Tribolium castaneum: one gene and its partners. The protein of the gene in region 1 binds, or shares a complex with, the protein of each later gene. Links are inferred from orthologs where the notes say so. Each region holds a gene or a part of one and is shown in the gene's direction. Other genes may lie near its edges.

Region 1 (3,164 bases):
GGAAGTGTCTGGGCAAACACACATGCCCAACCTGCAAAGAGTACGCCTCAGCGATGGATGAACTTGACGCTTCTACACTTTTCACGCACTTCAAGGGACACACAGAAAAATACGGTGGCACGGGTACTACTTTTGGAAAACTTTTAATGCCTGCAAAACCTTTTGTAGATTTCGTCGAGACATTGGAAAAGGCCCTGATGAAAAACATTCGTTGGATTGCCTGCACAGCGAATGTCCAAGATCAACTCCTTCAGGTTCTGAAAGAAGTTCAGTTTTCACACCCGTGCAGTAATTTTCCTGTTGAATATTTGTTAAGACTTTTTGGCAGGATGCGATGTTATTACATCCTCAAATATGCCAACAGGAACTTTACAGACTCGTCGGTGAAAAATCGAAAACTGATCATTCTTTCACATCGTTGAACACAGAGAGAAGACCATTTTTACAGTTTTTAATGATAAGTATTGGTATAATTTGTGTACGTAATCATTGTTTCTTTATTTTTAGTGTAGTCGGAAAAGAATGGAGTGGAAAACCAACACCAAAGACAAGTTTTCATACATTTAACATTTTTATATTACCTAATTCAAAAATTTGAGATCAACAAAGGCGAGATAGAATTTCAGTTTTTTAAAGATAAGTATTAAGTCTAATTTTTTTACACACCGGTATTATTTATTCATTTTTAGCAGAAAGCAGCAGAAAACAACAGCAATGAACCAGATTCATCTACAACATAAAATCGTAACTCCAAAAAGATAAGTTTTCGTTCTACTTACACTTTTATGTTTAATTATAAAAATTTCAGGTCAACAAGTTACAGTTTTTGTTATTAGACCTTTCCTTCATTAAAGATGAGTATTCATTCGTAACACTTTTTTACATAATCAATGTTCCTTTTTAGAAAGGCGATCAAATTAAAGCTAGGGAATACAATGAAAACAGTTTCGACCATCAAAATTGTGATCAAATTTAAGATGGACTCAATTTTACCATATTTGTACTGGAAATTGTTTTAAACGCAACAGAGTTCATTTTCTTTGTTCTAGTAATGTAATTAAACACTTATAACACACTTTGTAATAATAATAATATAACAATTTTAAGGTTACGTAATAGATTTTACTATCATAGTAAACACGTAGTAAAAATTTAGGGGAATGAGTTGGCAATACTGATTAGTACCAACAATTTCACCAGAAAGGCGACTCCAGAATCATTCATAAATACAGCTTTGCTGGAAGCCGCCAATCACATTCGACCACCGAGGTCATTGCGTCGCCATCTGCAATTTCATTCATGGATAGACGAGTGTCACATCTGCTAGTGATCTGTGGTTTTACTATGTGTATTGTTGGTTGTCTAACCACCAATTTTAAGGTTATGTTGTGTTTTGTTTTTACCGGTGATTATAAATTTCTCAATTTTAATTATTTAAACCATTTTGCTAATACAGATTTAAATAATTACAATGGTTTGTGACCACTAGAGATACGCTTTTAATAATTCCAAGACCTATATCGAAACATGTATCAAGACAAAATTGAGGAGCTCCAAAACTACTTTAAGAGCCACTGTAAAATAAAAGAGTATTCGGGGCACTCTTCCAAAGTCCATTCTGTTGGTTGGAGTTGCGATGGTAAACGTCTGGCATCTGGTTCTTTCGATAAATCCGTCTGTATCTACACTTTGGACAGAGATCGTTTGGTAGAGTCCCTAACTTGGATAAAAATTCAAAATTTGCATTGACAATTTTCAGAATAAGGAAATAACATTCAAGGGACACGGTGGTTCAGTGGACCAACTCTGTTGGCACCAGTCTCACCCAGACTTATTAAGTACAGCAAGTGGTGATAAGTCTGTTAGAATTTGGGACACTCGAGTCCAGAAATGTGTTGCCACAATCAATACAAAAGGGGAGAATATCAACATTACGTGGTCGCCTAACGGCAACGCGATCGCAGTCGGGAACAAGGAAGATTTGGTCACTTTTATCGACGCCAGGACGCACAAAATCGAAGCTGAAGAACAGTTCAATTTTGAAGTGAACGAAATCTCATGGAATAACACAAGCGACTTGTTCTTTCTAACGAACGGACAAGGCTGTGTCCACATTTTGAGCTATCCCGAACTAAAAAGGCAACACATTTTGAAGGCGCATCCAGGGACTTGTATTTGTATAGAGTTTGACCCTACGGGGAAATACTTTGCAACGGGTAGTGCCGATGCTTTGGTTTCCTTGTGGGATATTAACGAGTTGGCGTGTCAGAGAGTGTTTACAAGGTGGAGAAACCGCTCTTTTGCAACCTTTGTCGGTAAATCTTACTTTATTGTAGAATGGATTGGCCCGTGAGGACGATTTCGTTTAGTTACGACGGTCAGTTGCTAGCTTCAGCTTCAGAAGATTTAATCATAGATATTGGATTTGTTGAAACTGGTGATAAGATTGCGGATATTTCGGTAGAAGCGGCTACTTTTACGGTAGCTTGGCACCCCTCAATGTACTTTTTGGCGTACGCTTGTGACGATAAGGATGCGTATGATAGGAAACGGGACGCTGGGAGTTTGAAAGTTTGGGGGTTTCCGTCTGACTGAAACTATGTGTTTCAAAATATTCATTATTTTGTAATGTGCATTTCAAATAAATTACTTCAATAAAAATAATAGGTTGTTTAGGTACAATTTTCCTTGACGAAAAAGGGTTTGCGTCTTATTTAAGGCAAAGGGAGACGTCGTAGTGTGTTTCTAAGTCAACAGATGGTGCGGACTTTATTTTTCTATTATCCTCTTATCTTTTCACATCATTCGAACAAAGAATACAGAGTTGTACATAGAATCTAAAGAACCTTAATAAAATTTGCACCAACGAAATACTTTTTTATTTTTTTAAATTTATTTAAAAAAAGACCATAAATAAGGCGTAAGAAAATGACTGACCGAATTATCGGCTATGAAGAGGTGGCAATAGTATTGAATTTTTTAATCCAGTTCATTTAATAAATACTGTATCCATATATTCAGTACTTAGTAGAATTTTGCAACAACGCATTTGCATTTTTTTTTTTAGTTTTTACTTATTAAATAGTTTTCTGCAGCCTACTTTACAAATCTTTATTATCTTGTCACATTTTTGGGTAATGACAAAGCAACAATTAAAAATTACT
Region 2 (3,006 bases), on another chromosome or scaffold:
TTCGGTATTTTGTCAGTCAGTGTTTTAGAGGTAAACCAGATTTTTGCATTATTTTTAGCTAATGTTTATGGTAATTCACCAGATAATCTTCTACGCTGCCTCGGATGAAAAAACCCAAAAACTGCTCCGCTTCGAACCGCACAAACTGACCGAAATTTGGCGATTCGTCACCTACATGCTTTTGCACGAAGACTGGATCCACCTGACTCTCAATATTTTCATGCAAGTGCTTTTCGCCTATTTTTTAGAAGCGCGACACGGAAGCGTGCGGATTCTTGTTTTGTACGTGACCGGGGGAATCACCGGAGTCTTGGGAGCGGCCTGTTTTCACCCCGACTTGGTCATTGGGGCCTCCGGGGGCGTGTATGCGCTTTTAATTTCGCACATTTCCGATATTTTTCTAGTAGGTATAAAGCGAGCGAGAAACAACATTTTTGTAATTTTTTTCAGAACTTTGAAACCTTGAATTACAAAATCTACAGATCTGCGTGTATCGGAATAATCGTCATTTTCGACATTATCTACAACGTGTTACATGCCAATTTTAAAAAGGAGCCTTTGATATCGTGGGGGGCCCACATGATCGGGGGCCTCGCAGGCCTGTTTTTGGGTCTAGTGCTCTTCAAGCAAAAACCGTCAATTGCACGCACACGGAGATTAGTTTTATTTTTGGTGGGTTTATTACTTTACGTAATTTTATTGATCTCGCTTGTAATAATAACCGTTCAGATTAAAAAATGTACTCCGAAGGATGCCATACGCAAGCGGTATGTTTATTTTTGCTGATATTTTTTTTATAACGAGTGTTTGGCTATAAATGTGCGGTAGCAAAGTAAAGCGTGAAATTACACAACTTATAGATGTTTGCGGCTATTTTTAGACGTTGGTTTTGTAAAAAAGTGAAAAATAAACGATTAAACAAACTGCTGCTTACTTGGTTGCACGCTCATCACAACACCACTAGCTCAACTGAGATTTTTTTAACGTTTTTAACACTTAAATCTGCGTTTTCTCGTTCTTTTTTTATATCTATACAAATATGTGTACGTTTTAAGGTATATTTTTTACGTTTGTTTTAGAGTTTATAGTATAATATGTTTAATTATGACATAAAAAAAACATAAATAAAGTTAGGTATGCAACTAACTTAACCGCGTTGCATGTTAAGTTGCCTGTATTAAGTCGATTGAGGTTATATTGTTTAATGTTTGGGGCTGTATTTATGTTAAATACACGTTTGCGCCCTTTGTAATCGTATAATTGGTAATAAAACCAGACTTTGTACAGTAATATTGCCTATTAAACGTGCGTTTAATTCACAAAAAGTTATTTTTTCTTAACCTCAAAATGGTGAACAAGTTGAATAAATCGTTCTATAACACTGTTTTGAGCCAGACTTTCACCCCGTGTGGCAACTATCTCGTCGTAGGTGACATTTACGGCACAATTTCGGTCTTCCAGTAAGTATTAAGTAACTTCCAGCAGCCCCCTGAACCCCAGTTCCAGCCTTTCCAAGCTAACAAACCAAGGATCTTCGATCACAAAAGAAGACCAACTGCCCAAAAACGCATTCACGATTAAAGAAGACGTCCAAATCAACAGTTTATTGACCATGAAAGCGTTCCTTGTTGTGGGGACAGTTGGCGAGATTTTGGGGTACTCCTGGAAGAACGTCAAAACGAGCAAAAAACCCTCCTGCTCGTGGACAATTGAAATCCCGAACTCCAAAGACAGTTTCGACAAACCTGACGTTAATTGTTTAGTGTTTGAGCCCGAAAATAATTTATTATTTGCCGCCTGTGGCGATAATAATGTTTACGTTTTCAACATCGAGACACGAAAAGAAGTGCGGTGTTTTAAAGGGCACAAGAATTACGTTCACTGCATCAATTTCTGGTAAGTGATTACAGGAACCTGTACTTTGGTCACATGGCATTTCAGTAACAATAAACTGGTTTCGGGGGGCGAAGACGGGCTTGTGCTGCTATGGGATGTGAGAGGAGGCCCCCCAGTGAGCAAAATCGAGCCCCACAGTAGGGATAAAGTGGCCAGGGTGGAGCTGGGGCCCTGGATAGGGGGCGTTGGGATTAACGATGATTGGCTGGTATGTCAGCAATTTTGGGCGAAGTGGCCCCCCTTAAATGATTTTTTAGTTGTGCGGCGGCGGCCCCCGACTGTCTTTATGGCACTTGCGCTCCCTGAATATCGCCACAGTGTTCCCCATTGACGATAAAGGGATTCATGTGGCGGAGGTCTACCAAGACAGGATTTTCGCAGGGGGGCGCTCTAATTTATTCTACCAAATGAGTTTTAACGGGGACATTATCACGGAAATTCCGACGTCTCCTGTGACCACGTACAGTGCGGTGCATCAGGATGAGCCCTTCCAGACTTTGTGCATTGCGGGGTCGAGCCCCAAAATCGACGTTTGTAGCAACTTTATCTACAAAAATTTGCAACTATCTCTGTATTAAGTCTTTAGTAAAATAATAAACCATAAATAATTCGTCCAGAATTTGAATTTGACAGCTGTCATTGATGCTCTTTAGGTTAGGATAAGGTACCGTTAAAGAGTCAAAAATCGCTCGAATGTGACCCCAAATCGTTTATAACCCTTATTATTTTTTTAAGAACAATTAAGTTACAGTATGGCCAAGTTTGAGTGCTCAAATTGGCGTATTATTGTGTGAAATCGCAAATTTCATATTTAAGTTGGCAGGACTGTATTAAAAGACAATTTAAACTGTTTGAAATAAATTTTTAATAAATAATTTGTACAACTTTTATTTACAAAAATCCGTGTCCGGCTATAACCGCCGGTATGAACCCCTCCTCTCCCTCCTTGTTGCGCACCCAGAACCACCCCGGCACATGGGTACCCTGGAGTACCACAACGTCGCCTTTCTGCACCTGAAGGGCATTTTTTTCGGTGCCAAAGTAGTCACTGTTGATGACTAGGAGTGTTTGTCGTTGGATTTTGCCACGTTTTGAGGATGCCAAAGCGCT
Region 3 (2,957 bases), on another chromosome or scaffold:
CAACCGATCCTTTAAATTATTATGCTGAGATCTTTAATCTCAGTGAATGTATTTTTGTATATAACCCAATAAAACTATAAAATCAAAAATATGTTAGGATCATCTGGTGCTTTACAGTTTTCTCTGTGCATGTGATTTTTTTCAGGATTATTCTACAATTCCTTACAATAAATATTAATTAATTAAAAAAATCAATATAATAATTAATTAACTAAATTTATAGTCTTAGGGACTAGTTACTGTACAAAGCCAAATAAAATTTAATTCAGGATTAAACTTCAGTGGTGGAGAACTTACGGATAAAACGAACTAGTTTTCCGTTCATAACGAACTTTTCACAGAATTTTGAGAAATATGTCGGGGTTGATAGTAAGTATTTAATATAATAGAGAAGTGTTAACTGATGAACAAATTATTAACTAACTAAAAATAAATATTTTTTGTGTTTTGACATCTAATTACTGTGTAATTAACTACTTAATCCAAACTTTTATTATTTTTTGGGATATTAGAGGTTGAAACTTTCACTTCAGCGTCTAAAAATTAATCAGAAACGCAATATCAACTAGGAAATTGGGATTGCGTCTTTTGAGTACTTTTCCCAAAGTTTATATGACTAACAGACGGTGATTTGAGCAAACGAGCGTATGCGAGTTACATAATATACACCCGAGAACTTTAAACGTTTTCGCGTGAGTGTTTGTTTTGTTGGAATTTTTAAATTAAATTAATATTTTTTTATTACATTTTTTAAATTTCTTTTAAATTTAAACGTGTTCACATTTGATTTTTTTTACTTTTAATGGATCAAATAAAGAAAGTCTAACATTACACAATATTTCAATTCTGCCAAAGATTCTTCAAACACTAAAATGTGTTAATGAGTCAATATAAATAAACATCTGTTTTGTATTGACAATATTTTAACATACATTAGGTAGAAGAACAAAATTTCATTTACAAATACCTACCTACATAAACTGGTAGAACAAAGTTTGAAAAAAATTGAATGTATAGGGAACCAATAATACAGCGGTGTTTTTACATTGGTGTAAATAGGTTACCTATTTCATAAACATAAAAATAAGTTTTTATTCTTTGTTTCTGTATTATGCTGAAAATGCAAAAAATTGCCTAATACATGCGGTCGTATTTTTTTTTGGTAAAATCCGGGCAGGTTCCTGTGTTGCCGACAGCGCAGTGACGTGGCGCATGCGCACAGCGTCTGTCGTTCATTTTGTACGCCATTTTGTCGTTGGTTGTGTGCGTTGCCGCCGGGTGTAGAAAAAGTGAATTTCTCAGTCAAATCAGCGTACAAAATCAGTAAAAATGGTCGACACAATTGAAATGAGTTTAGATGAGATAATAAAATCCAAGCCCCGGCGCGGCGGCCGTCGCGGAGGTCGCGGCGGAACCCGCGGGGGTGGCGCGCCAAGACGCGGCACGTTCCGAAGAGCCGGCGGCGTCCAAAGGGGCCGAGGACGCGGAGGAATAACGCGCCAGTACACCCGGGTAATTGTTTCTAACTATGTTTATACTTAAGCTGCCCCGCGATGGAAGCGGCTAGCGTGCATCCAGCCGGAGAGCCGGAATTTACCCCCATCCATGTTTGTTTAGGGAGATGTGAACAGTGCTTGGAAGCACGATCTGTTCGAGGGCTACGGCCCGCGTAAAGTGGCCGCGGCTCGGGCCGTTGTGCAGTCCAATGTGGGCCCCACTAAGCTCATGGTGGGCAATTTAGACTTTGCGGTCTCCGACTCGGATATTCAGGAATTGTTCGCCGAGTTTGGGCCGCTAAAGAGCGCCTCGGTGCACTATGACCGCTCGGGGCGGTCGCTCGGCACCGCTGATGTGATTTTCGAAAGGCGCACCGACGCTATTAAGGCCATGAAGCAGTACAACGGAGTGCCTCTCGACGGACGCGCCATGAACATTCAAATCATCACGTCGGAGATTCCGTCGCCGGTCAGGAGGCCCACGGGAGAGAGGAAGTTCCAAAGCAGAAGAGGGGCTGCACCTGCCAAGGGACGACCTAACAGAGGTACAATTACTTGACCAGCGGCGGCGACGCCTCCAACAGCCGGATTTTTCAACTAAACAAATGTTTGTTTGCCAGGTCGTGGAGGAGGACGAAGTTTCAGAAATCAAAAGAAACAACCGACAGCTGAAGAACTCGACGCTGAATTAGACGCCTACACCAAGGAGATGAAATAAAATAAGTGCTATTAATATCAGAGACGCTCAACGCGCCACTTTTTGTGACTTGTGTTTAGTTCTTTCGTATTTTTATTTTGTATTTTGATTGTAACATCGAGCCTTACATTTTATAAAAAATAACCACTAAAGTACGAGGATTACGTATGCGGTTCGTTTTTTCCACAACTAAATCTAGTGTTAGGCTGTTTTCTCTTGTTAATGTAAATTGTATTGATAGGAATAAATAAGAATTAAGTGTGACTTGTCGTTTCATTAGAAATTTTTTTTATTTATACATAAAACTGCATCAGCCAAATGTATCACATGACGTTAAGACCGAGTTGTATAAAAAATTAATCGCCTTCAATCTTGATTTAAAACCATAATAAATCTTGTAACAGTTGTCGCTAAAGGCACGTTGACACGGATCGATTTTAGTCGTTTATTTCAAGTTGAACAATAAAACTTCAACAAAAATCATCGTCAGAATCTTTGTTGTGTCTTAAGTGGATCAAGTTTTTTACGATGATTTCCATTAAAAATTTTCATCTTTAATTGAACAACTAAAGTGGGTCCGTGAGAACTTGCGTTTAGGGTTTATATTACTAAATATACGACAAAACAAATTACAAAAAGTACATCCAATCGAAGCGAGTGCACTCAACGTAATTTTCATCAATAAAGAATACTAAAAGAAAATAATAATTTATTAAGCAACAGTGTAAGATTAATAATTATAGTAACTGAGCTGTCTTGTGGCT
Region 4 (4,273 bases), on another chromosome or scaffold:
GAAACCAAAAAAATGTTTATTTGCATTAAATTTTGAGCAGCCACTTTCATTCATTGAAATTAAAGACAAAATTATTACGTGGCAATTAATTATTTGAGTGTTTTATTTTATTTATAGTTACTGTATTTAAAATGTGTCACTCAAAATATCACTTTTCAACACCGCATTTAAAGATTTTAATTGCAATTAAGTTTTATGAAATTATTGGTTTGAGAAATAAATAAATACGACACAGCAATAAAATACACCTACCTTCATATCGCTTCCACGTTGGCTACCGTTTGTAGCATTAAAAAAAAATAATAATAATATTGAAACCAAAAAAATGTTTATTTGCATTAAATTTTGAGCAAGCCACTTTCATTCATTGAAATTAAAGACAAAATTATTACGTGGCAATTAATTATTTGAGTGTTTGATTATAATTTTATTTACTGTATTTAAAATGTGTCACTCAAACGCGATCACTAGCCACCGAATTGAAAATTTAAACCGGAAAATTTAGATTTGCTTGAACACACGTCCGTTCGCGACAACGGCAAGTAACAAACTGAATAAATTGAACGAAACCGCACAATACACAATAATTTAAATAAACCGACTCACCTCGCTTCGCCTCGCCTCCCGCTCCCGCTCCCGATCTGACCCGTACCACTGCTCGCTGTCGACTGAACCGCCCTCGCCGCCTGCGCCGCACACCTAACCTCGGATGTGACGTCATCACACGTCTAAAACAGGTCATAACCAGAAACATTCACTGTCCAAATCCGTCAAATTTAGAAACATTCATACACAGAATTATTCAAAATAGAACAGTATTGATCTAGAAAAATTAATTATGACAAATGTATTTGTCTATAAACGTCTAAAATTATAAAAGTTTCGCATGCAGTTAATGGAAAAATAAAAATGCATGTTTATATTTAAACAGAAACTGGCAATGTGAAATTTTAGTGCGAAAATTAGTGGTAGAGCTCGGAAACTCTGTAAACGACCACGATAGGCGGAGCCAATGCGTACTTCATCGAGTGAGGAGATTGAGCAGTGGCGTAGCAAAAAACCATTCTATGATCAAGAAGGGTTTGAGATTCATAATTTGTAGTAGTTAAAATTTCCTCTATTCAATAATTGCAAGATGAAATAGTAAAAATCATATCTAATGCTAATACACGTTGATTTCCTAGAAATACAAAGCAGAGAGGTCGAATAAATAAAAATACACAATGAGTAAAGAGTAAAAACGCGTTTATTGCAAAAAATGTTTCTACTGGTATCTTTACTATAACTGGTAATATTGAAATGTTAAACTTTAAGACGAATTCCCTACACATGTAAGTACACGCCACGCCACTGTTTTCTGCCAACACCCCTAATTTAAAGATTGGACTCGTCCGAGACGAGTTTTCGTATCTGCGCACTCCTACCACCGTGGACGATCTGTCATTTCGCGGACTCTAACATTATTTTTGACCTTTGACAGTTGTTTACAAGACGATTCCGGTCGCTTATTCAAGTATTTCACACGAAATTGAGCGTTTTTCACGTTGGGGGCCCTCCAAGCGTTGCATTTAAGCAATGGGGGGCAAATTCGAGTCGTTACGGGTCGAATACCAGGTGGGCCCCGACATAACCTCAAACGCCACTTCTAACCCGGTTTTTAGGACGTTTTACGCAAATCTTTCAAGACCAAAACCACCGATTTGATCGAAACTAAAGCCAAACACTTGTCGAAGTCCGCCATCGACCTTAAGGCCCCTCTGGACCAGGCGTTCCGCGACGTCTTACTCGAACTCCTTGAAAAGGAAGTCAACGTCTCAGTCTTACGCGAGTTGGTCGATTTTAGCGTCCTAACATGTCGCAAGGAACTGAGCAACCCCACAATGCCAGTGATGCTCCTTTCGGACATTTTTGACGCCTTAACGCTGGACGCCTGTCAGGAAATGTTCCTCTACGTAGAGAACAATGTCGAAGTGTGGAAAGAGAACTTGTTTTTCAGTTGTTGCAAAAATAATTTACTCAGGTTGTGTAACGACTTATTGAGGCGGTTATCTCGGTCCACGGCGACCGTTTTTTGCGGCCGAATTCTCCTCTTTTTGGCCAAGTTTTTCCCGTTTTCTGAACGTTCAGGTTTGAATATTGTGAGCGAATTTAATTTGGAAAACACGACAGAGTATGGCACGGACTCGAGCCAGGAAAAGGGGGGCGACGTTGACGGCGACGAAAAGAAAAACGTGATCGATTTCACGTTTTATTGCAAGTTTTGGTCGCTCCAGGATTTTTTCCGGAACCCCAACCAGTTGTACACTAAAGTGCAATGGAAACTGTTTTGCACCGTAATTATTTTTGCGCATTTTAACCGATTTTTATTATTTTTTTTAGTACGCCACGAGTGTCTTTAACACGTTCCAAGGCCTCAAGCTTGAACACGTGGAAAATAACGGGAGCTATTGTGACGAAAGTAAAAATAAAATGTACTTTTCCAAGTACCTGACGAGCCAAAAATTGCTCGACTTGCAACTGTACGACGTCAATTTTCGGCGCGCCGTCCTGTTGCAGTTTTTAATTTTATTCCAGTACCTTTCATCATCCGTAAAATTTAAATCGTGAGTCGGTTTCTTTAAACTAGACGCACCTTTAATTTATTTTTTTAGCGAAAGTTTCGAGTTAAAGTCGGACCAAAAAGAGTGGATCCAATCAAGCACCGAAAAAGTCTACAGTTTGTTACGCGAGACTCCTCCAGACGGTAAACGATTTGCCGAAATCGCCTCAAATATTCTAAGTCGGGAGGAGTATTGGAACGCTTGGAAGAACGACGGTTGTCCCGAACTGAAAAAATCGGTGGTTCCCACGGAAAGCCCCGACAAGCGCCGAACCGAAGAGCGCCCTCTCTTAGGCGACATCATTAAACAGGCCTCCAGTGAGGGCAAATACTACATGGGAAGCACCGAACTGACCAAACTGTGGAACCTATGCCCCGATAACTTGGAGGCTTGTAAAGGCCGAGAGCGCGATTTTCTCCCCACACTTGAGGATTATTTCGCCGATGCCATCGCCCAAATCGAGTCACCTGGCGCAGTCAAAGACGAAGACAATTTACTGAAAGATGGGAATTACGGGTGGCGGGCTTTGAGACTCTTGGCTAAGCGCAGCCCCCACTTTTTCACCTACAGTACTGTGATTATGAACCCCCTGTCTTCGTATTTGGAGATGATGGTCAAGAAAATAGCGCATGATAAGCCAGGTCGCGTGACCGAAAATTCGCAAGAGTCGCAACAAAACGACGCCGAGGAAGAAAATTTGTTTAAGGACACGCAAGTTGATGAAAACACCGAAGACATCAAACCGTCCGAAACGGAGGAATTTATGGACGATAAGAACGCGCGAGTCGAGCATAAATTAAACCCGAACCAGTTGCAACTCTTCAGCGAGAAAGTGGCCCCCAATTGGAAAAAACTAGCCAGCAAGTTGGGCTTCAAAACTGACGAAATCCAGTTCTTCAGTATGGAAAATGAGAAAGAGGTGGACCAGGCCCGTAATATGCTACAACTGTGGTTCGATGACGACGAAGATGCCACTTTGGACAACTTCTTGTACATTTTGGAAGGGTTGGAGATGGAGGAGGCGGCGGAAATTGTCCGAAATGAAATCAATTCGATGGATTCCTAACTGTATTTAACTCGTTTCGCCCTATTTTTACTTTTCAATTTGCGTTTCATATGTAATTGTTTGTGATCAACCTTGGGACAGTCCCGTTTTTTGTGCCCCGGTTGTTTACAGTGGAAACAATCCTTTAATAAAATTATTAAACCTTGAATTGGGAGTTTGAGACTGACCTGAGTAAAGACCAAGTCGCCGCATTTGTGGTCCGGTTGGCAGCACCGACCACATTTTTCGCAGTGCTGCCAACTCGGTTTAACGCACCTTGCACACATGGGACAGTGGGTGTACGTCCGGCCGTCTTTCGAGGTGCATTTCTGGCAAATGGGGCAGTGTTTGTTTTCGTTTGAAACCCATTTGTTGCACTCTTGGCAAAATTTGTAGCCTTCATTCGCCGGAAGGACTATTTTACTACAATTTTTTGTCCCGAAAAGTTCGTAAAAATCGTCGGCTTACCTCGGGTCCACGTTCGTGAAAATTCGGACGGGTGACCCAAATTTCCGCGCCTTAGCGCCGTCTTGAAACAAAGGATGGTTGTCATAGTCGACTTTATAATCGAGCATGGAATAGTCGGGGAGGCTGTTTAGTATTTGCGGTTCCATAAAGTAGGGGAATA
Region 5 (2,751 bases), on another chromosome or scaffold:
GAGTAATTGGAGATTCGTCGACAAAATAAGAAAAAAGTGAACTTTGAACTGCTAAGATCATAATTTTCGACGGATTTTTGAAAATATGATTACGGGATTTAATTTATTGATAACTAAAGTATCCACGTTTATTAAAAATGTGATTTAAATAATGAATCAAGTAGTAATAAAATAATAATAAACAAGGAAAGTACACCGTTATCAGTCATGTTTACTTTGGTGTACTTTACCCTTTATTAATTTTTTCTCATTAGACACGTGAAATCACCTAGAGTAAATATAATCATCAGGTGATCATTCCGTTAGTACCTGTACCGATAGAAACCAGATATTAAATATCTTGCAATGCTTCAAGTTTGATATAATTGATAAAATATAAATAAAACAATATTTTAAAGCTTAATTAAATATGAAACTACGAGTTACGTGTCTAAAAAGTAAAAACTATTTAGACTGTTTATTGTAAGATTTACCGAAAATTCATCTTATTTTTTTGTTTTGAATTTAAATTGTGATGACCTTTCTAGACCTTTCTGTTTTTTGTCAAATGCACATCGCGTATGAAATACTCTAATAGCGATAAAAAATTTTGAAATATGTCTATCCAAAATAATAATAAATAAATTACCCAAATAACAAACATCATTAAAATTGAAATTAGAAACTTTTTGCTTTTTTGTGAAAACAGAAAATAGCACAAGAAATAACTTGTGGTAGCAAAAACTGGAGCAGATTCACTTAAAATGTAAAAATCTTTAATACATAGTTTATTTTTTGTTGAATTTTTTGAGGTATTATTGTGTTTACAAAAACGGCCAAAAAATAGCTTGCGGGAGCAAAAAATTGCACAAAAAAAGCTTTCAGGAGCAAAAACAACTCAAAACAAATAGGTTGCGACAAAAAAAATGCACAAAAAATTGCTTACAGGAGCAAAAAACGACACAAAAATTTGCTTTTTTGTATTTCCGGGACTAAAGTTGGTACTTTAGAAGCTTAAAGTTCGAGGGCTGTCGTTATGCAACGAGCGTATGCGAGACACCTAGACACCTGAGAACTTTAAGCGTTTTTGCATAAATTATTATTCAAAATTTTTTGTTTTTGTTTAAATTTAAAACACGTTGCTATGGAAAGCGTGTTTTAAAATAGTGAAAACATTCGTAGCCGATGACAAAATCACCAAAATACGTATTATTTAATAAAATAAATTATAGTCATATTTTTAAATGATTTACGCTTTATAAGCTTTTGTTATATGCAACCATTAAAACACTTATCTCAACATGTCCTCTAATTGCTATTTCTAGTAATTTTTGGTTTAGACTTTCGATGCAACTGTTGGCAAGTGCCAACATTTGACAATTTGTGTCATAACCTCAAAAAATACAAATTTTTCGGCGTCCACAGTGCAAACAAATCCGCCTTAATGAAACAAAAGGACAAACGTGGTACCATGTCGGATGGTAAATACTTCCCTTATAAAATTACTAGTGTGTCCAAACAGTAAAACTTCTAGAGGACATTATCAAAAGAAAGTTACTCATAGACGGTGACGGAACCGGCGACGATCGCAGGCTCAACGTAATAGCAAAAACTCTTCGAAAATGGGCAAATTCCACCGAAGACTCCCCCTTAGAGAACCAAGCAACCCACGACAAACTACTAGCACAATTAAGCCTTTGTGAATACTCAGTCAGGAGATCCCAACTCCTCACAAGAACCACATCGCGTCAGCTTGAAAACTACAAAAAAATTTACGACAAATTTGAACAGCAAATCAGCGAAGTAAAAGACTCAATCAAACAAAACAAAGACAACTTAGTACAAGCCAAAATATGGAAACAAAACCACATGATGTACGATTTGTTGGCACAAAGTATTGCCGAACAGCCAGCACGCAAGGAAACAAACGAACGCCTTTCGAACTTACAAGCGGAACTGAAAGAGTTGCACAAGGAAAAGGAGCTGCTGGAGCAGAAACTGGACATGAGGAGAAAACAATTTCACGTGCTGGTGTCCAGCGCCAGCAAATTACAAGCAATGTTGGAGGAGTCAAACGAATATTGCCATAACGACAGTCTACTTGAGGATGTGGCGGACAGCACAGGCCCTGAACCCATGTCTGAATAATTTAAGTTGGTAAAAGTGACAATTACCACGGTTACTTAATTTATGTTAGAAAATCTGACAGTTACCATGGTTACATGTCATCAGCTATGTTATTTTAGGCGAATAAAAGCAAGTACAAAAATTATTTGAATAGTTTTATTTTAAGCACCTTAGTCACATTTCTAATGGTTAGAGAAACTCTCGTGTCTCTTTTGACTTTATCGCCAATGGCGTATTGTTTCTCACAATTTAGTAAATTTGCACAGCCTTCATCAATAACATCAGTTTCAATTTCTCTAATGGAATGGAGGTATTTAGCGTACATGTCGTCTTTAATTACAACTAGACTACACCTTTCGAGAAGTAATTGGCAAACTTTAGCACGACTTTCGTTATTTTCTAAAAACTCTAATACTGTATGAGAGCCACACGAAATGGTGGCAATAGTGGGATAAAACAGTGGCCCATCAGTGTGTGGCATTATGCCTTGGCCGGGAAGATATTCGTTGATTAATACTTGATTCGGTTTGTTTCCCTCAAAAACGTTCAATTGAGCGACTTTTTCCATGTATTTCGTCAACCAGTTTGGTATTGCTTCCGGAATCATGCCTTTCTCGTGGGGCACGCCCCCGTAGTCTTGCAGTC
Region 6 (4,299 bases), on another chromosome or scaffold:
CACAAGTGAAATGATAGTTCCTTCCGTTATCAAACTTGGTGTTACCAACCAGGCATAATTAAAATAAAAAATAACGAGTATTTTCGCCACCTTCAAAACCTTGACTTTATTATTACATTATTAATTTCAAAACAGAGCTGTTAAAATTAATAAATTAAAAAGTACAATCTTGAGTGATAGTGCCGTGCGTAAATATTTACACGTACAGGAAATAAACTGTATGCACCTCGTTAAATAGAATTATTTGTTGATCTCAAGGAGGAATGTTTAACTACTGGCGCATGCAGATTCAAACTTTCCGAGCGCTTTTCTGGGTCAAATAATGAATCTGTGTGCACATGTTGAAAGAATTATCTCACAAAATAAAAGCTTTAGTGTTAACGACAAGGTTTAATGTGTGTTATTAGCCGTCTCATGGCCTGAACTACTGGAAAACTAACAATTATCGAATTTTACGTGTTTATACGTTGTAAACACATGGTAGAGATTATGTTTATGCAGCTAATAGATATTCTAATCAAGAATAAACAATTTGGTTTATTGAAAATAAATGCTTGGATTGTACTACGAAGGTGAAAGTAAATGAGTATATGCTGTAATATTTGTCCCGTCCTTATCTAAGAATTCGTGTTACTTAATCTGCAGATAAGGACGCCTCATCGCGTTCTCAGAAAATTTGAAAAAAATTTAAATGATATTGCGTTGCGTTGTTGGAATTTTTTGAGGAAAATAAACACTGCCGCGAGTAGCAATAAATAATTTCGACGGCGTCAAAATTAGACTCACGTTTTTTATTGGTCCCTTCATGTTTTTGGCGGTGCATTCCTCGTCAGACGATGCCTGCAAAATAATTACAGTGAGATTTAGAAAAATGTAGGCCAGTGTTTAATTACCAGCACATGTCCATTCTGCTCGGATCCTCTGTACACGTTCCTCTTATTGATGCACTGCAAGGATAATAAATTATTAATAATAAGGATCAATTTCATTTGGTCAGCACTAATGAAATGTTAATAGCTTGATGAGCCACCCAAAAAGCCGGAAAACGTGCCGAGTATCCACAAATAATTATTCACCGTATATCCATTTGCGTAGCCTCCGGAGTAGGGGCCGTATCCGTTCGAAATGACCTTTTGGTGTTTGGTATTTTCGAAATCTACCCCACTTAGTAGCTCTGTCACAGCATCACCTGCACCCTCTTCCATTCTCGCTTCTATACTGAGGATTTGAGGACGCATGCGTCCACATTTTACAAACGCAAATTTTTTGTTGGTTGATTGCGACTCGCGTGATACCGTGAGACAACCTTGCATTCAAAAACTTGCGGTCTTTCCGAATTTTCCCCAAATAACAGAAACTGAACAACCGTAAACTACATCCACTCGGACGTAAAACCGCAAGCAAAAAACGCAATTACTACATAATTCTCTACAAAAAAAATTTGATTGTTCTTAACCACAATTCCGAAAGCTTGACATTTTGCCCAAAATTTGGTGCTTTTTGCTCCAAGTTTCGAAAATCTGGGGTCTTTGGTTCGCTGTTGGCAACGCGTGGGCGCCCATGTTGGGAAAAATGACGCTTGGTTGCTAAAAATGGCAGGTGTTGTTAGTAACGATGTTTGGAAAAGTTGGGAAAAATCGGGAAAAACAGAGTTGTAAGTGCACATTTCACTGAAATAATGTGGTTAGGTTCATTTGCTCGAATTTTGCATCCGTTTCGTGTGTTAATACGTGTGGGAATTGCAAACACGAGTCAATGTCCACACGTTTGTGTATTGTTGATTTTGCGTTTAATTCTATAATGAGTGGTCAACGCTAAGGTTCCTGCTTATTTCAGTGTTAAAACATGCATGCAGTTGTTGAAAGATGACACCAAGTCCCCGGTTTTTGACAAAAATGGGAGAGTCTCAAGTCTCATAACCAACATAAATATGTTGATTGACAAAGGACTCAAAGGGCAGTTGAAAGTGGAGGCTGTTGTTTCAACGCTCCAGGAGCTTGTTGTAAGCTTGTTGTAGTCAAGAGTCACAAAAACTCAAGTTTTTTTTGCAGTCTTTACATCCTGATGTTCCTTCGGTAATTTTAGACGTTTTAAGTATCACAGACTCTTCTTGCATACCTGATAGCAGTAACGACGATTCAAAAGAAAGGAACAATTTGTGTTTTATCATAAAAGAATGTGAAAAGGTAACGTCTTAGCCAAATGTTAGAAGCTGATCTAATTTTCAGAAAATTTAGTTGCTTTCAGACCAATTGTTGAAGGAACGGTTAGAAATAGACACGCTACAAGAAGTTGGCATCTTGAAAAACAAAACGTTTTATTCAAAGTTTATTAAAGTGAAGACAAAACTATAGTAAGTATAATTCTAAGTTTGAACCGCACAACGTAGGGAAAATTAATTTTGGAGCACAAAATTAGTTTTCCAATGACGTGCTAGAGCAAGTGCATTAAGACTGTCTCAAATAAGAGAAATATTTGAGATTTTGGATGATGCTAACAAGTTACAAAAAAACAAAAGTTTAATAGGTGATTGTTCATTGTTAAAGAAAAGATAGTTTATATATTTTTATTACACAATGTTATAATGAGTTTGGCACTGCAATTACATAACACATTTAAAAAAAAATGACACTTTGATTAAAAATTTGTCTTTATATTATCTATCGTAAATTTTAGTTTAATTTATGATTTGTCAAGTTGGACTAGTAATAAATTCTACGAAAACAATTTACATTAAATTACGACAAATACGAGTAATAAGTGCAAATATTATAATGCGATGTCTGCGCTGTTATCGACTACATATTAACACATTTTATTATTTTTCTCAAAAACGGTACATTTACAAAAAAATCACCTATAAGTGAATTTTATTTTTAGCTACAAACAGCGCAAATTTAACTTATTTCGCGAGGAATGTGAGGGTTTCGCAAAATTACAAACGGAATTGAACCAAGAGTTTGGCGAAAATACCAGTCATGAGGACGTCCTAGACATAGTTCAATCATTAATTGGTTGCTTCAACCTCGACCCAAACCGAGTCCTTGATATAATTCTGGAGAGTTTTGAGAATAAACCAAAAGACGCGCGAATTTTCGTCCCTCTAATATGCTCGTATATGAAAGACCCGAAAATCGTGAGTGAAGTTCTAGCATCGAAATTCACTTTTTTGCGAAGTAGCGAAACAAATGTTCCTCGATCTCTATACGTATTAACGGCGCAGTTGTTACAACATAACATTATATCACTGGACGACATTTATCTTTGGGTAATGAAACGATTTTTTCAAGACTTGTTGGCTCATGGTTGATTTATAGTTAACACCTGAGGATAAAATCATGTTTAAAGAGTGTGATAAAGCGATGAAAGATGCAAAAGAATACGTGCGTAAGCTACAAGTGATCTCGATAAATAATAAGGAGAAGGAAGAAACGCCCGAAGAGCCGGAAAATCTCATGGAAAAATTTAACGCGAACCAAAAGTTGGGGCTTTGCGAGGCGTTGCTTTCAGTCGGTGATTGGAACAATGCGAAAAATTTGATAAATCGTCTGCCTGATCACTACGCACTGTCATTCCAACCGATCGCGTTAGCACTGTGCAAATTGTTGCATTACATCGTTGAACCTGTTTATAGAGAGTAAGTTAAGTGTAGGGTTAGCTGTGAGGTTTCCACATTGGTTGTTATAGATTTTGTAAGTTGGGACCAAAAATCAAGGGAAAACCTATCCCGCGCCATGAAAATCCCCTCAGCCCGAAACAAGCAACCTCATTTTTGGAACTTCGAGATCATGCCATTCCTATGTTGATTACTTTAGGAGCTTCGCTCCGTTTTGATCCCGTTTTGATGTACAAAGTGATAAGAATTTCCAAAGCGGCGTTAAATTCCTATGGAGTAGAGTCGTCAAAATCGCCTTGTCCGTCTGGTGATACGTTATATTACGATATTTTGACTTTGTTGGACACGACAATACTGTCGTCACTCTCGTACATGGATTGCAATTGTTGCATCGCAGAGGAAGTGTGGACGGTCCTCAAACTCTACCCATATCAGAATAGGTACTGTCTTTACAGCCGGTGGAAAAACGAGACGTATTCTTTATACCCCGACTTGTTACGAAAGCGCGGAGATTCCGAAAAACAAATCAAAAATATCATGAAACGAGTCAGTAAGGAAAACATCAAACCTGTAGGCCGCCTCATTGGCAAACTCACCCACTGTTCACCGGGATTTCTGTTCGATTACATTTTACTCCAAATTCAAGTTTATAGCAATTTGATTCACCCAGTGGTCGACTCTTT
Region 7 (4,148 bases), on another chromosome or scaffold:
ATTTTTTCAACTTATTTTTCAATAAAAATCGTTTTTTTTTTTAAAATATCCCTTGGTTTTCCACTGTAAAAAAACAGGATTCAGTGACGAATTATATAGTAAATTTTCGCATTTAATCATTTTTAAAATCCTCTTGAAAATATCAGTTTATAATCGAATATAGTGCGGTAAAACTTTTATTAAAATAGTGGAGTGTTAAGAGCGTAACGAGTTTGGCAACAAAACTGTTTACCTAAATGAAATTCAAAGCAAAACACAAAAACACTTCATTTATGTTTGCGCAGTTTTAATAACGTTTAGCGGTGTTTTATGCCTCGAAACAATTACGAAATAATTAATCTAATTTTTTTATTTTTAATAACAAAGCTTGCAAATTTATATTTTTTGGGGGAAATACATCAAAGCTAGATGGAGCCACTTCTGGCGGCGCATTCAAATGGCGAATAAATCCCCATGCCGTATTTTACTTTGTCCCAATTGTCTCAGAACGTTTTAAAGTCGGCGTTTTCTTTTTGCGGCATAAACCGTCTGTCTAGAAAATTAAGAAATACCTCGGTGAACTAATTCGCGTAAAGTCGTGCGGAAAGCTTTTCGTTCTCTTGTATAATGTGTTTTCGGACAGGCGATAAAATTTTATCGTCGTCCAGCAATATTTCCTACGTGTGATCCTATGTAGTAGTTCTGACGCGACACCTTTTTTATCATCTTGAGAACCCGTCCACATCCTCGATAACCAATACAAGAGAAACGTGCCACTGCAAACCTGGTCCTTAGCAAAATGGATGAGTAGTCAAGAACATCCAAGTCCTATCTTAACACTGCTCGATTTTATACCTGGAGAATTTTACGAGCGCTCGCGTGTAAACAACACTTGGAAGGAGATTGAAAAATACTACAAAAAACTATTAAATTACGAAGTTTACACGATTAGAATAGCTCCTGTTTATTGGGCCAAGTAATTATTCGGGGACCGATAATTGCTTTAATTCGGGCGGAAAGCGGCAAGAAGTGCGCGATGTTTAATTAAAGCAGGTAAAAACGCGTTCAAATTTCGCGCCATTCACAATTCACCCATATTTAGTGAAATAATCACGAAAATCGCCCTTAATACAATAGTGATTACCATTTACAGTCTTGATATTAAAAAGTGCGATTTTATTTTTTTTAATGTTTTTACACGAACGACAAGTCCGGTACTCTGAATGATTATATAACGACCCAAATGTTACATAATCCGATTACGTAACAACTAATAATTGAAATTATCCAAATTATTTATAATATAAGTCGCAATGTTTGGATTTTGATTTAAAAACACAGAAATTAATTCGTTTAAACCAAGATGTGGTGTCCTGAAACAAAATGGCGTCTGTTGTCTGTCAGTTTGCGCATTTCTAACCTCAAATTTTTTGTCGGCTTGTTTACATAATCTTTTTTGCTTAAAAAAATGGTTAAAGAGTCAAGTAGTTTGAAAAAAAAGCGCAAAAGTGGGACTAGTGCCGACAATGAGGCCGAAATCGACATTTATAAAGTAATTACGCCTCCCTAATTTTGGTTATCACATTTATTGATTTTTTTGCAGAAATCGGTCGAATTTGAGGAGAAAGAGGCCCTCAATCGACCGAACGATACCGACGCTCAGATTTACTTCAACACGTGCAAAGAAATTCGGCATTTATTCGCCGAAATAAGTGAACTGAAAATGAAGAGTGGGTCTGATGTAAATTGGAATTTTGTCGCTTTTTTGTATATTTTTTGGGTGTGCTTTGTAGGTCAGGGCTAAAATTACGGAAAAAACCACCGAAGTGTGTCTATTATTGGTGCTTTTGAAAAAACTGAACCGCATGGAGAAGGTGCGTTTGGTTTTTCCAAAAGAACAATTGGCTGCGGAAAAACAAAAAGTGGACAGTATTAATTTACAATATCAGAACTTGTTGTACGAGGCTAACCATCTGATGTCGGAATATCGCAAATGTTTCCAGTTCAAGTAACGAAAACCCCCTTTTTGTGTAAACCCCCCAAAAATTTCTTTCAGGTCTAAAGACGAGCACATCGAGCTGGTCCCCGTTGAGGAGTTCCTCGCCGAAGCGCCGAAAAATTTAACGACAAAATTCAAAAAAGTTGGTTTAATTTTTTTAATTTCAAAAACTTTAAAAAAAATTTTAGTTTGATGAAACCGACGAAATGGCGAAGCACGAGCTGCGGCTCGCGCGCCTCGAGTGGGAGCTCCAGCAGCGTATTCATTTGGCCGACATGTGCAAAAAACTTGAAGAGGAGAAGAAAAAACTAGAGGGGGATATTGCCGAACGTCGCAATAAATTGGATAAATTGGGGCCCCTCTTGTCTTCGGTCATGGAGGCCACGAAACCGGTGCAGGAGCACCTGGGGCTCCACATTGACAAGATCCAGGCTGAACACAAGCTTGCCTCGCTTCTACCCAACCCCCTTTACTTGTTTTATGCCAATATTGACGCCTACAGACAGGTGAACGACTCGGGGATGAGTGTGGAGATTATGGGGGACCAGGAGGAGGCTAGTCAATGGAAGGAGTTGGAGTTGGCAGAGGATGAAGAAGAGGAGGAGGAGGACATGGAACCGGAAGCTGAGATACAGGAGGTGGAGGAAATTGTCGAAACGAAGAAACGGCGTCACCGGAAGTCGGTACATGTTGATCCACTTGAGGAGAAAAAACGCAAGTTGTTACAAGTTCACCCGCTTTCTGTACAAGTTACTGTCACTACTAAAGACGGTCCTTCAATTAAAATTCGACTAAGTTATTACGCAAAATTGGAAATCGTCACTGTATCTTCAAGCGTCAATATTCCGAGCAATATTACAGGTACTTGACCCACTATCTACAAAAATCCTCTTTTAGACAAAAAAAAACGGATAGTTACAGGTATTTTGTGAATGATAAGGAAAAACAACATAAACTACACCTTTTTTACTTGGTTTGTTTTCCGTCTCTATTTACAATTGAGTCATGTCCTGTTATTATCGGAATATGCTGAAATTTTGCATACTCACGTAATATCCGTGAGCGTGAGCAGCAAAAAATTCTTCTCGCTTTTAAAGGGAAAATCATACTTTCTTACTTTTTTACTATAATGGAGGAAAAAATGCAAATTTTTTTTAGTGACCCCCGAGTGTCTTTCTTACAGGAAACGCAGCTCGTGAGGTCTTATCAAACGAAAGCGTCCTCGTGGAGCTGGTGGAGGGCGACTTCGGGCTGGACAGCCCCAACCCGTGCACCCCTTACCAACTGAAAAAAGTCGGCTTGGGGTCCTTCCAAAGCCTCGTCCCAGAGCTTGGCTACGTCTACACGTGGGCGCAAAAAATGTGCGGCATTGATTTTTTGAATAAAATGTCCGGTTCGGATCAACTGAGCCAAACTAACGTCGAGTCGGTCATGAAAACAATAAAAAAGCGCCTAAAGTCGCGGTATGCCTTGGCGAAACAATTGGAGGAGTTGGAGCGGAATGTGATTCCTGTTTTGCCGGCTAGTGTCGATTTGCCGCGAACCACGATTTCGAGTCTTACGAAATGGTCATCAGGGACGTATCAAAGCTTTTGCGAGGCTAAATTTACGGAGGGTTTGCTAGAAGCTGAGTTAATTTCGCCGAATGATATTTTCTATAAAGCGACAATCACGCGTGATAAAGGTAAGTTTGGTGAGTCACGTGATTAATTAGTGTTTTTTTTGTATTTTAGCAAATTTGCAAGCTTTTGTTGTTATCAAGAACGATTATCCGTCAATTCCACCAATTTTTGCGCTTTGTTTGAACTATAACGGGACTAGACATTCGCAGAATGATGATAATATTCGGGTTTGTTGGTAATTTTGGGTTTTTGGGTTGGTCTCACTCGTTTTACAGGACATGGAACGGTCGATTAATGTCGATTGGAACCACGAATTTTCAAATGCAAATTGGCTTTTGTCGGCCCAGATTATGTCATTGTGTGTCGGACTGGACATTTATCTGGAAACGGAGGACCCTGGGACGTTTCAACAGAACACCATGTATATTAAATCGACTTGGTAGGGATTTTGAGTTTGTTTTTTGGGGGTAATTTTGGTTTTTCAGCGCCAGAAATAGGAGAAAGCCGTTCAAATTCAGGAATATTGGGGTTGGGGTCTACACCCAATG

What was found.
Region 2: tex (region 1) and thoc6 share a complex: the UniProt entries of both Homo sapiens proteins name them as parts of the transcription/export (TREX) complex. The link is inferred for Tribolium castaneum from reciprocal best matches to the Homo sapiens genes THOC3 and THOC6.
Region 3: tex (region 1) and Ref1 share a complex: the UniProt entries of both Homo sapiens proteins name them as parts of the transcription/export (TREX) complex. The link is inferred for Tribolium castaneum from reciprocal best matches to the Homo sapiens genes THOC3 and ALYREF.
Region 4: tex (region 1) and Hpr1 share a complex: the UniProt entries of both Homo sapiens proteins name them as parts of the transcription/export (TREX) complex. The link is inferred for Tribolium castaneum from reciprocal best matches to the Homo sapiens genes THOC3 and THOC1.
Region 5: tex (region 1) and thoc7 share a complex: the UniProt entries of both Homo sapiens proteins name them as parts of the transcription/export (TREX) complex. The link is inferred for Tribolium castaneum from reciprocal best matches to the Homo sapiens genes THOC3 and THOC7.
Region 6: the proteins of tex (region 1) and tho2 are in contact, whole or in part, in a cryo-EM structure (PDB 7ZNL), measured with the Homo sapiens proteins. The link is inferred for Tribolium castaneum from reciprocal best matches to the Homo sapiens genes THOC3 and THOC2. Residues at the interface, in NP_115737.1 of Homo sapiens: Asp193, Met196, Ile208, Val217, Gln218, Asn221, Ala222, Pro224, Ser225, Ala244, Asp245, Ala246, Leu247, Ser249, Trp251, Asp252, Asp254, Glu255, Leu256, Val257, Cys258, Val259, Cys261, Ser263, Leu265, Asp266, Pro268; in NP_001075019.1 of Homo sapiens: Tyr395, Arg396, Pro401, Lys402, Gly403, Ala404, Lys405, Gly406, Ser407, Pro446, Ile447, Ala450, Arg454, Cys500, Asn501, Ala502, Cys503, Met504, Glu506, Pro563, Arg566, Gln567, Lys570, His573, Tyr603, Leu604, Thr605.
Region 7: tex (region 1) and thoc5 share a complex: the UniProt entries of both Homo sapiens proteins name them as parts of the transcription/export (TREX) complex. The link is inferred for Tribolium castaneum from reciprocal best matches to the Homo sapiens genes THOC3 and THOC5.

The regions. Positions count from the first base shown.
Region 1 is NC_087394.1:25,132,906-25,136,069, forward strand, and holds tex (THO complex subunit 3), read left to right. Parts: upstream 1-1,336; 5' UTR 1,337-1,405; intron 1,406-1,456; 5' UTR 1,457-1,527; coding exon 1,528-1,707; intron 1,708-1,759; coding exon 1,760-2,283; intron 2,284-2,336; coding exon 2,337-2,595; 3' UTR 2,596-2,664; downstream 2,665-3,164. UniProt on the Homo sapiens protein: Component of the THO subcomplex of the TREX complex which is thought to couple mRNA transcription, processing and nuclear export, and which specifically associates with spliced mRNA and not with unspliced pre-mRNA.
Region 2 is NC_087395.1:25,800,898-25,803,903, forward strand, and holds thoc6 (THO complex subunit 6), read left to right. Parts: upstream 1-1,166; 5' UTR 1,167-1,347; coding exon 1,348-1,460; intron 1,461-1,506; coding exon 1,507-1,896; intron 1,897-1,941; coding exon 1,942-2,104; intron 2,105-2,153; coding exon 2,154-2,474; 3' UTR 2,475-2,506; downstream 2,507-3,006. Other genes in the region: DNA oxidative demethylase ALKBH2, read right to left, coding at 935-950; protein rhomboid, read left to right, coding at 1-30, 83-403, 451-786; uncharacterized protein LOC103314375, read right to left, coding at 2,788-3,006. UniProt on the Homo sapiens protein: Component of the THO subcomplex of the TREX complex which is thought to couple mRNA transcription, processing and nuclear export, and which specifically associates with spliced mRNA and not with unspliced pre-mRNA.
Region 3 is NC_087395.1:19,979,840-19,982,796, reverse strand, and holds Ref1 (THO complex subunit 4), read left to right. Parts: upstream 1-1,217; 5' UTR 1,218-1,329; coding exon 1,330-1,512; intron 1,513-1,617; coding exon 1,618-2,041; intron 2,042-2,116; coding exon 2,117-2,214; 3' UTR 2,215-2,457; downstream 2,458-2,957. UniProt on the Homo sapiens protein: Functions as an mRNA export adapter; component of the transcription/export (TREX) complex which is thought to couple mRNA transcription, processing and nuclear export, and specifically associates with spliced mRNA and not with unspliced pre-mRNA.
Region 4 is NC_087399.1:4,612,862-4,617,134, reverse strand, and holds Hpr1 (THO complex subunit 1), read left to right. Parts: upstream 1-1,473; 5' UTR 1,474-1,575; coding exon 1,576-1,614; intron 1,615-1,661; coding exon 1,662-2,333; intron 2,334-2,379; coding exon 2,380-2,603; intron 2,604-2,651; coding exon 2,652-3,666; coding exon of another isoform or gene 3,667-3,788; 3' UTR 3,789-3,814; downstream 3,815-4,273. Other genes in the region: rRNA N6-adenosine-methyltransferase ZCCHC4, read right to left, coding at 3,663-3,788, 3,834-4,068, 4,114-4,273. UniProt on the Homo sapiens protein: Component of the THO subcomplex of the TREX complex which is thought to couple mRNA transcription, processing and nuclear export, and which specifically associates with spliced mRNA and not with unspliced pre-mRNA.
Region 5 is NC_087397.1:9,556,705-9,559,455, forward strand, and holds thoc7 (THO complex subunit 7 homolog), read left to right. Parts: upstream 1-1,302; 5' UTR 1,303-1,423; coding exon 1,424-1,460; intron 1,461-1,513; coding exon 1,514-2,127; 3' UTR 2,128-2,248; downstream 2,249-2,751. Other genes in the region: alpha-ketoglutarate-dependent dioxygenase alkB homolog 6, read right to left, coding at 2,249-2,751. UniProt on the Homo sapiens protein: Component of the THO subcomplex of the TREX complex which is thought to couple mRNA transcription, processing and nuclear export, and which specifically associates with spliced mRNA and not with unspliced pre-mRNA.
Region 6 is NC_087402.1:8,544,871-8,549,169, reverse strand, and holds the start of tho2 (THO complex subunit 2), read left to right. Parts: upstream 1-1,499; 5' UTR 1,500-1,592; coding exon 1,593-1,654; intron 1,655-1,836; coding exon 1,837-2,002; intron 2,003-2,051; coding exon 2,052-2,186; intron 2,187-2,237; coding exon 2,238-2,353; intron 2,354-2,880; coding exon 2,881-3,268; intron 3,269-3,317; coding exon 3,318-3,637; intron 3,638-3,687; coding exon 3,688-4,299. Other genes in the region: serine palmitoyltransferase 2, read right to left, coding at 787-840, 894-947, 1,077-1,313. UniProt on the Homo sapiens protein: Component of the THO subcomplex of the TREX complex which is thought to couple mRNA transcription, processing and nuclear export, and which specifically associates with spliced mRNA and not with unspliced pre-mRNA.
Region 7 is NC_087399.1:3,176,526-3,180,673, forward strand, and holds the start of thoc5 (THO complex subunit 5 homolog), read left to right. Parts: upstream 1-1,348; 5' UTR 1,349-1,447; coding exon 1,448-1,531; intron 1,532-1,582; coding exon 1,583-1,720; intron 1,721-1,772; coding exon 1,773-1,987; intron 1,988-2,035; coding exon 2,036-2,120; intron 2,121-2,166; coding exon 2,167-2,839; intron 2,840-3,161; coding exon 3,162-3,662; intron 3,663-3,711; coding exon 3,712-3,827; intron 3,828-3,875; coding exon 3,876-4,039; intron 4,040-4,085; coding exon 4,086-4,148. UniProt on the Homo sapiens protein: Component of the THO subcomplex of the TREX complex which is thought to couple mRNA transcription, processing and nuclear export, and which specifically associates with spliced mRNA and not with unspliced pre-mRNA.